Drosophila melanogaster: one gene and its partner. Changing the gene in region 2 together with the main gene of any one other region gives a genetic interaction. Each region holds a gene or a part of one and is shown on either strand. Other genes may lie near its edges. The genes, in order: pdm3 and Or42a.

The links.
Region 1: of Or42a (region 2) and pdm3, changing one suppresses a phenotype caused by changing the other (phenotypic suppression), as found in Drosophila melanogaster (one study listed by BioGRID).

What each region holds. Positions count from the first base shown.
Region 1 is NT_033778.4:8,325,650-8,329,576, reverse strand, and holds the start of pdm3 (pou domain motif 3), read right to left. Parts: upstream 2,088-3,927; 5' UTR 1,570-2,087; intron 1-1,569.
Region 2 is NT_033778.4:5,791,193-5,795,119, forward strand, and holds Or42a (odorant receptor 42a), read right to left. Parts: upstream 1,776-3,927; 5' UTR 1,772-1,775; coding exon 996-1,771; intron 811-995; coding exon 453-810; intron 391-452; coding exon 304-390; 3' UTR 249-303; downstream 1-248. UniProt on the Drosophila melanogaster protein: Odorant receptor which mediates acceptance or avoidance behavior, depending on its substrates. The odorant receptor repertoire encodes a large collection of odor stimuli that vary widely in identity, intensity, and duration.

The DNA of each region.
Region 1 (3,927 bases), 2.5 Mb from region 2:
TGCACCCGCTGAATGTCATTCCAGAGTTTGGCCAATGCATCTGTGGGGGCCAGTGCAACTGCGAGCCCAGTTAATTCTCGCTAAATAATTGCCAACGATAACGAGGCGTGTGTAATGTGTAGTTGGGAGCAGGGCAATGGCAATAGCTAACTCTGCTTGGCAACGACAATGGAGCAGGCAACAAAGAGGCTAAATTCTGTATTAATTTGCAATTAATGCAGCTAATTATATTTAATTAAATGAGCGGGCCACGCTAACAATGCACTGCATAGATACGTTTTCTACTCGGATGCCGATGAGGGAAGGGCGGTGGGATCTGCGGGATCGCTGGGATCGGTTGAATCGGTGGAAACGGCGGCGGCAGCAGGGATCCAAAGTGGAGCTGAGGGGAGGGGAATCCAAGCAGAGCTTGGACAGTGGGAAAAATGTAGCGCAGGTTGGTGCGGCTTTGAAATGAAACTGATTATTACAATTGTTGTTACGCCCGCTGGCGCTGTTGTTAGTGCGAATTGTGCGCCGCTGCTGCTGTTTATTGTATCTCATAGATACGTTTAGATTATTTTTTGCAAAAATGACACTGAGCCACCGGCAAGTCAATTGTAATACGTTTTAGTAATTTTTCGTGGGGTGGCAGCAGTCGCAAGGCTCAGCACATTAAACTATTTATGTGTAGAGTTTCATTCTGATTTCGTTTTAGCGATCGTTTGATGAGCCTCATTGTTGCAAATTGCCACTGTCCACTGCCGTCGAGCCGTATTATTAGTTTGTTTGTGGCTATTTATTATATTTGGTTTTATTATTAGAACGTCGCAACTATTTTTGAGACCCTCGCCAAGTTTGCTCATGCACATGCCCCCATGCTCATGCCGGTCCAACGATAATGCTGATGTTGATAAAATTAACGTTAATTAAAGTTATTAACCGCCTGCAGCGAAATCGCATCAATTTATTGGTTTTTGCATACTACCATGTCAGGGTTGAGATTTACATAAAAACTGCATTTGGCTGTTTCGAGCAATATTCGAGTGAGTGGAGTGCGTGAGAGGCTAAAAAGGTTTGATATTTCTAACTTGATAATGATGATGAGCACTTCACTTAAATGTCTTTTTTTATTGCAGCCCCATTATTTAGCTTACCATTTTGGGTTGAGTAGCTGCCATAACGTTCAGCCATGCAGATTTTTTAAGCTTTGTAATAAGCCGGAAATTTTGAGATTTATTTAAATATTTCCGAAATTCATCCGCTAAAATGTCCAACCACTGACACACGTAAAAATTTGGCGTATGGAAATTTTATCAAATCAGAAATATATATAAAAGTTTTAAAATTACTTTTATTATGATATTACAATTAATTTTAGTAAATCAATTATATACATGTGAATATATATATATGTGAAAAAAACTGTTTCAGACTATTGGGAAGACCATTTATAATTACTTTAATACCTCTAAAATTTGGTTCCCATAAAAGATTTTAAACTGATGATAGTCAATTGCATGATATACTTCTTCAAAACATATAATATAAATTCACAAGAGCTTAAATCAAGTACTTTGAGATATTTACCGTTATTTACAGATTCGCAAGCTGTTGCCAAAATCAACGAAAGAGTTTTTATGTTCCACTAGCTTTTCCTGAATCCTGTTTTTCATTCACCTTTTAATGGTCGTTTGGTTTTGATGTGTAATTTCTTAACTCTTATCACAATTGAGCACTGTATTCAAAGTATTCATGAGTACCTATGAGTGTAGCAACGAGTATCTGACAGATGGTTATCACCCACGCACTTCAGATGAGACGATCGCAACGCGCCAAAAATTCGGAACTGAGTAGTTTCGAAACGGATTCAAAAATCGCGGAGCAACGGCTGTACAAAACACATGGGGCTCAAAAGTTGCAGTGGCAGCTGTTAAAGATGAATCGTGGGCACACGCCGAAGTTTATTTGCTTGGGTATTGTATGTTGCACTTTGGTTGTTTGTTTGTTGCACGAGTCGAGGGGCGTCCAAGATATATGTGGCCGTTCAATGCGATTCCGGTTCAGATCAGCCGTCGTACGTTCAGGCGCAGCGTCGTCCGTCGACTGAATGAACGTGTGGCGCACGAGCGGCGCTTTGGACCCCCAGCAATCGCAATCATCAGCATAAGTAGCAACAGCAAAGGAGCAGCAGCAACAACAGCAGCAACAACATCGGCAAACACGAGCAAACAAAACGAAGGCGAGGAACCCGAAGCCGCAGGCCCAGCTCAGCGGGTGCGAGCGAGAAAGCGACCGGGGTCTCTCTCACTCACTGCCTCTCGTTCTCTCTCGCTCTGGCTCTCTCTCTGTCGCTCTCTCGCCCACCCCCTAGCCCAAGCCCCACTGGCGGTGCAGCGACGCCGGCAGAGCGCCGACTGCGCAGGAGCAGCAACGGTATATATGCAATTTGCTTGGCACTGTTAAAATAAAAATAATGACGTCATTAAGCGCACAAATGAGCGGCGCTGCTGCTGCAGTCGACGTCGACAGCGCTGCCGGCGCAGACTGAGCTTATAACTGTTGTTCTGAGAAGGAGAAGTTGCACACTTGACGAAAGGCGAGCACTTAACGACGGCGAGGCAGAGATAGAAAGAGAAGGAGAGCGGTCGCGCGAGGGAGAGGGCGCGAGTGTGGGTGAGCGCTTTTGTGAGCGCATTTTGAGCATTTATTACAGCTAAACATTGCACTTTTTACACCGAACGGTGGGAGCGCATTTAGATTCTACATACATATCTTTGGAGATTTGCAAAATAATATTCAAAATCTTTAAACTGTTTGACATAATTTTAAATCCACTTGTACAAATTAACAATGCTTAATTATAATGGAAAAGTAGGAAGTCACCGCAATTTAAAAATCAATAAAATTTATTTTTATTTTTCATTTTATCGTACCAATTTAGAAACTTAATTATGATTTTCTTAATAAATGCCACAACCTCTCTCAACACACAACAACTTAGAATTTATTTTAAGCTTCAGAGGAAATTGTTGGATAAACCAAACCTGTGATATGCATCACAAGACGACTTGTCAAATGCCCCGAAATTTCACCCCAGCTCGACCCCTCGACAACTATTGCTGGGAATTAATAATTTAGGTCTCGATCCGCAGAGCAGAGCCAATGCCAAAAGCTCCAGTCACTCAGCTCGTCGGTCAAAACCCCACTCGAAGCCCAGAACCCTCTTGCTACCACTCCAGCCCTCCGTCCACCGTCCTCCAACTCCCACCCACCCACAATGTGACGTGTGCCGGGTCTAGTGAACCACACCCCTCCGCCCCTTTTGCAACGGCTCGAACCGCTTCCAGAAAACCGAAAAGTGCCAATAAATATGGAAACGTTTTGCCTTGTTCTGCCCACTCTTCCTCCCACTCTTCCACCCAATTCTCTGCCATCCCTCTCTGCCACGTCTTCTGCTCCTTCTTCGGCACTCTTTCATCTCCACTGGCAAAAACTTTACCAAATTTCAATTCAATTTATAAGAAAGGCGGTTCTCACTTTGGGTAACATAAAAAGAACGTGATAATTAGATCCAAATTACAAAAACATTAATTTCATAAAATTAAATTTTAAATTTTCACATTAGTTAAATTAGTAACTAATATATTTTATTTTTATTTTATTAATTTATAAATTGGATACTACTGATATTATTGATTGCACGTAGGTTACTATACCTTTTATTCTCCATATAATACACTGTAATAATTACGTGTACATATATTTTCTTTTTATCAACACTAACAATCATAAATTTTTTAGGTGTATCCTTGCTCCTTGGCTACCTTTGCACTAATTCACATTTGATGTTTTGTTGTCTGCGCTTGTTGCCGTTGCCGCTTGCATTTTTCTGGTCAATGAGGTTACAGTCAAGTCACTAGACAAGCCCCCGCCGCAGTCCGCCCC
Region 2 (3,927 bases):
ATTTCCCTGCTCTTTATATGTAGATAAGTACCAAGTAGGTTTAAAGCTCACTTTTCAAAAAATAAATATATATTTTTCAAGATACGCATGATTATATTATATTATGTTGCGGTAAAAAGGAAACTATGAAATTCATAACCCTTACATTACCTTACCTAATTGCAGTAGTGTTTTTGTTTAATTTAAAGTAATTTTAAAAATCGGTACCCAACCCGCTAGCAACAGTGTTAAAAAACTATCAAAATTTTATTACCGTGTACTTTAATTTCTTTCATGTGTGATTTTAAATTCGAATAAACTTTTTCACTCTTCCATTTCAGATTTGGCAAGTTTCTCAGATATGTTCATTTGTTTTACGAGAGTAAAGACGGAGAACGAAAATTTTGTGACCTTCAAGGAAACCAAGAGTAAAACAAATGTCAAAAATTTCATTAAAGGGCACATCTGCTTACACTGATGTTAGTTCCCACAGATATTGGAAACACGTTCATAGCCATGAAGGTTATAGGCTGCTGCAGTTTCTGTAGGAAGTACATGAGTGTCTTTTGGTATCGTTTCTCCTCATCAATCCAGTTTGACTGAAACAGGGCATCGGCCAGCTTGTAGCAGTCTTCTGTGAGATAATTGCACAATATGCAGAAGGGAGTCGTCTCTAGAAGCACTGCGGCCATAAACGAGAGCGCTGCGATGGCCGATCCCAAGTTGGCGAACAGGACAATGTTAATTAGGGTAAAGCCCAGCACCAACCCCACAACCAAGAATTGCACGAAGATGGTACCAGAAATAACAGGACGCAGGCAGTCAACAAATCTGTAAAAGAGGTCATGGTATTGAAAAAGGTTGCCACATTTTAAGGGTAAATATATTTTCGACCAGGATCACAAATCAAGTCGATCTAGCCCAACAGAAAATAAGTTTTGTCCCAAAAAAGTGCGTGAATTTTCCACAGTGCACCCTAATTTATATTTATATGTACATTATTTCCGTTTACTCACCGCAAAATTACTTTGTGATCTTGTATGCACTGAACCAATCGTTCATATTTCTGCTCCTGGCTTTCATAAGGATAAGTTCCCAAACGTCGAAGGCGCTCCGCGAAGATCGACATGTGGGCACGCAGGACCAAAACGAAATTGACTGGGTAGCAATCAACGCAAACGTCCTGGAAGCAGGCGCCAGCCATGGCGAAGTATTCCAGACCGGCCTGCAGAGCTAGATGCAGAGTGCTAGATCGCCAGTCCAGAAAAGGGTAGTAATTTTGGTACGGTGGCCTTCCAATGAAGATCGCCGACAGAAACGTATTAGTGGCATAAACCATGTAGACTGCCATGAAAAAGAAGAATATACGGTTACTGAGGGAGACAGCGCGATGAATCTGAAGACGCTCTCCGGGGTCTGTGATACGCCTATCCATCTCGTCGAGAAGGTTATTAGCCTCGTCAAAGCGCTTAACTAGTGCCCACACTATCAGGACTTTTGTAGAGCAGGACCAAGCATTAAAGGCCACCTGCAGCGAAGTTAGAAACTCTCCCGGGGAGAACTCTGATAAATGGCTTATATAGCCTGTGAGAAAGCCAATTGGCTGATAAAATGTTGAGCAGAAATTCAGTGCGAAGGACCAGAGCACGTAGGCCACGAAAAACTTGGCAGGTGGCTTGCGGACGCCCATTAAGAAGACGCAGCGTAGGAGGTACAGGGTCGCGTCTCGGGAGCGAACTGGCGAATCCTTCGACTGGGTGTACAAGGTCGGAAACCACCTTCGCAGATCCATAGTGAATGCACTCTAATTTCAACAATTGAACTAAAGCACCGTCTGCAATGTCCTTTTATAGGGCCGCCAATGGCGTGATTATAAGTCCATCAATCGTCAATTAGATAATTCATAGGCGACACTTGAAAACTCGTTTGTGGAAATCAATTACTCAAGGGGTAATAAAGTTTACTAAAGTCTGCAGTGTATAGATTGAAATACCCTTCTCTCTATTAGTCATTGCAGAGGGTTGACACAATTCAAATGACCTAAAGAATGAAAGCCCATTGGATAACGCTTCACATAAGTGTAAAAGTTTACACTATTCCATTAATAAATGATGATTCCCTTAGCACGACGAAAAAATTAACAGGCTGCAATCGTTCACAAAGAAGAGGATTTAGTTTGCATTTGTGTTCTGTTTAAGACATCGGTAGCACATTTATGGAAAATATAGAAAAAATAATAATAATATTAAAATATATTTATTTAAACCATTAGTGGGGAGTGCGAACGAGAAGTTTCAACATTTTTTAAAATATTTTGTAAATAGAAATTTGTGAGGAAACAAGAGAGAATGATCTAGTCGAGTTCCCCGACTATCAGATACCCGTTACTCAGCTAGTGTGATTGCAAACGCAAAAATGATATTGGGGAATAAAATTAGGAAAATTTTTCTCATTGGGCATTAAAGTGGGTGTGGCCAAAAAGTTGTTTGTCAAATCGGTTGAAATTAGTTAGATAAACAATAAAACGATAAAAGGGCAAAAAAAATTTTTTAAGTGTGAGGTTTGTTGACGTAAGGGGACAACACTTTTTTTTGGCAAATCGATAGAAATATGATAAGCTATCAAAGCATTTTTCATAAGTGTGGGCGTGGCAATTTTGGGTGATTTGTGGGCATTAGAGTGCGTGGCAACATGGGTCATCAAACTTGCGCTGCGTCTATGTCTCTAGAATCTGTACCTGCTTAACCTCAACCTTCTGGCATTTATGGTTCCAAAGATCTCGACCATATTATTGATCGGATCACTAGCCAAGTCAAACCATCCAAACTATCTGTCTGTCTCTATTTATGTTGTGATCTTGAAAACTATTGTATTAAAGCTGAAGACGTTTAGACTAAGCATACAGATTCTAATGACGCCAACGCTGTTCAAGTTTGTTTCCGAACGGTGTCATGCACAATTTTCCGTTGTTAACCGATTGCGATCAGTACTATGTATTGATTCGCTGCTAATGGAATGTACACGGTTTACGGTTCGTTTTAGTGTACCGGGGTACCAAGAGCTAAAAGTCCGGGAAAAGCCGAATGTCAAGAGTGAGACATTTGGAAACCCAAAGGCCGAGTCTGCTATTTTTTTAATGTATACATACCTGCACGTCCATATGCATACAATGGTTTTTATAGATGGAATTTGTAATTTAACAGTTTTAAGGGAGGAGCAAATAAAAGTATAGAAAGCCAAAGCGCAAGAAACGCGATTTATTGGTGGCATGGGATCACTTCAAAAAAACGTTTACAAATGCACGTGGACCAAGGAACTACTGCGATAAAGCTATAGAGTATTTCGATACCACACTATGTATCCGATGATACTACCATACCATATACACTCTGCAGCAGGAAATTCCCAATCGGTCAAATCATGAAGACTAATGAACTTATAACTTTAGCTTTTGAAAACATGTTGGATATTTTTTTTTAATTTTATTAGGCTTGTAAATTTCTATCGATGGGCCAAATATCTTTTTGTTACACCCACTCTAACTTCGTTTAATTGTTTGCCTTCCCAAATTTTATCGGTATACCAAAAACACTGGTCACGCCTCTCCCCCCACATTTTCCTAACGGTCCACTTTTTTAAACAATTTTTAAAATTTTTCTTTCTATCTATCGATATCCCAGAAAAATTATGAAATTTTGCGTTCGCATTCCCACTAGCTGAGTAACGGGTATCTGATAGTCGGGGAACTTGACTAAGCATTCTTTTTTGTTTTTCAAATACAGAGGTGGTCAAAAGTATTTACACAACGAACTATTTTTCAATTAGTTGACAATTCTTGTCAATTGAAAAAAAAGCACGTTGGGTAAATACTTTTGACCACCTCTGTATATAGTTAGGTAAGGATATTTCGCTTCGTCATGCTTTTTTTTTTGGTATATTCCTGTAAGC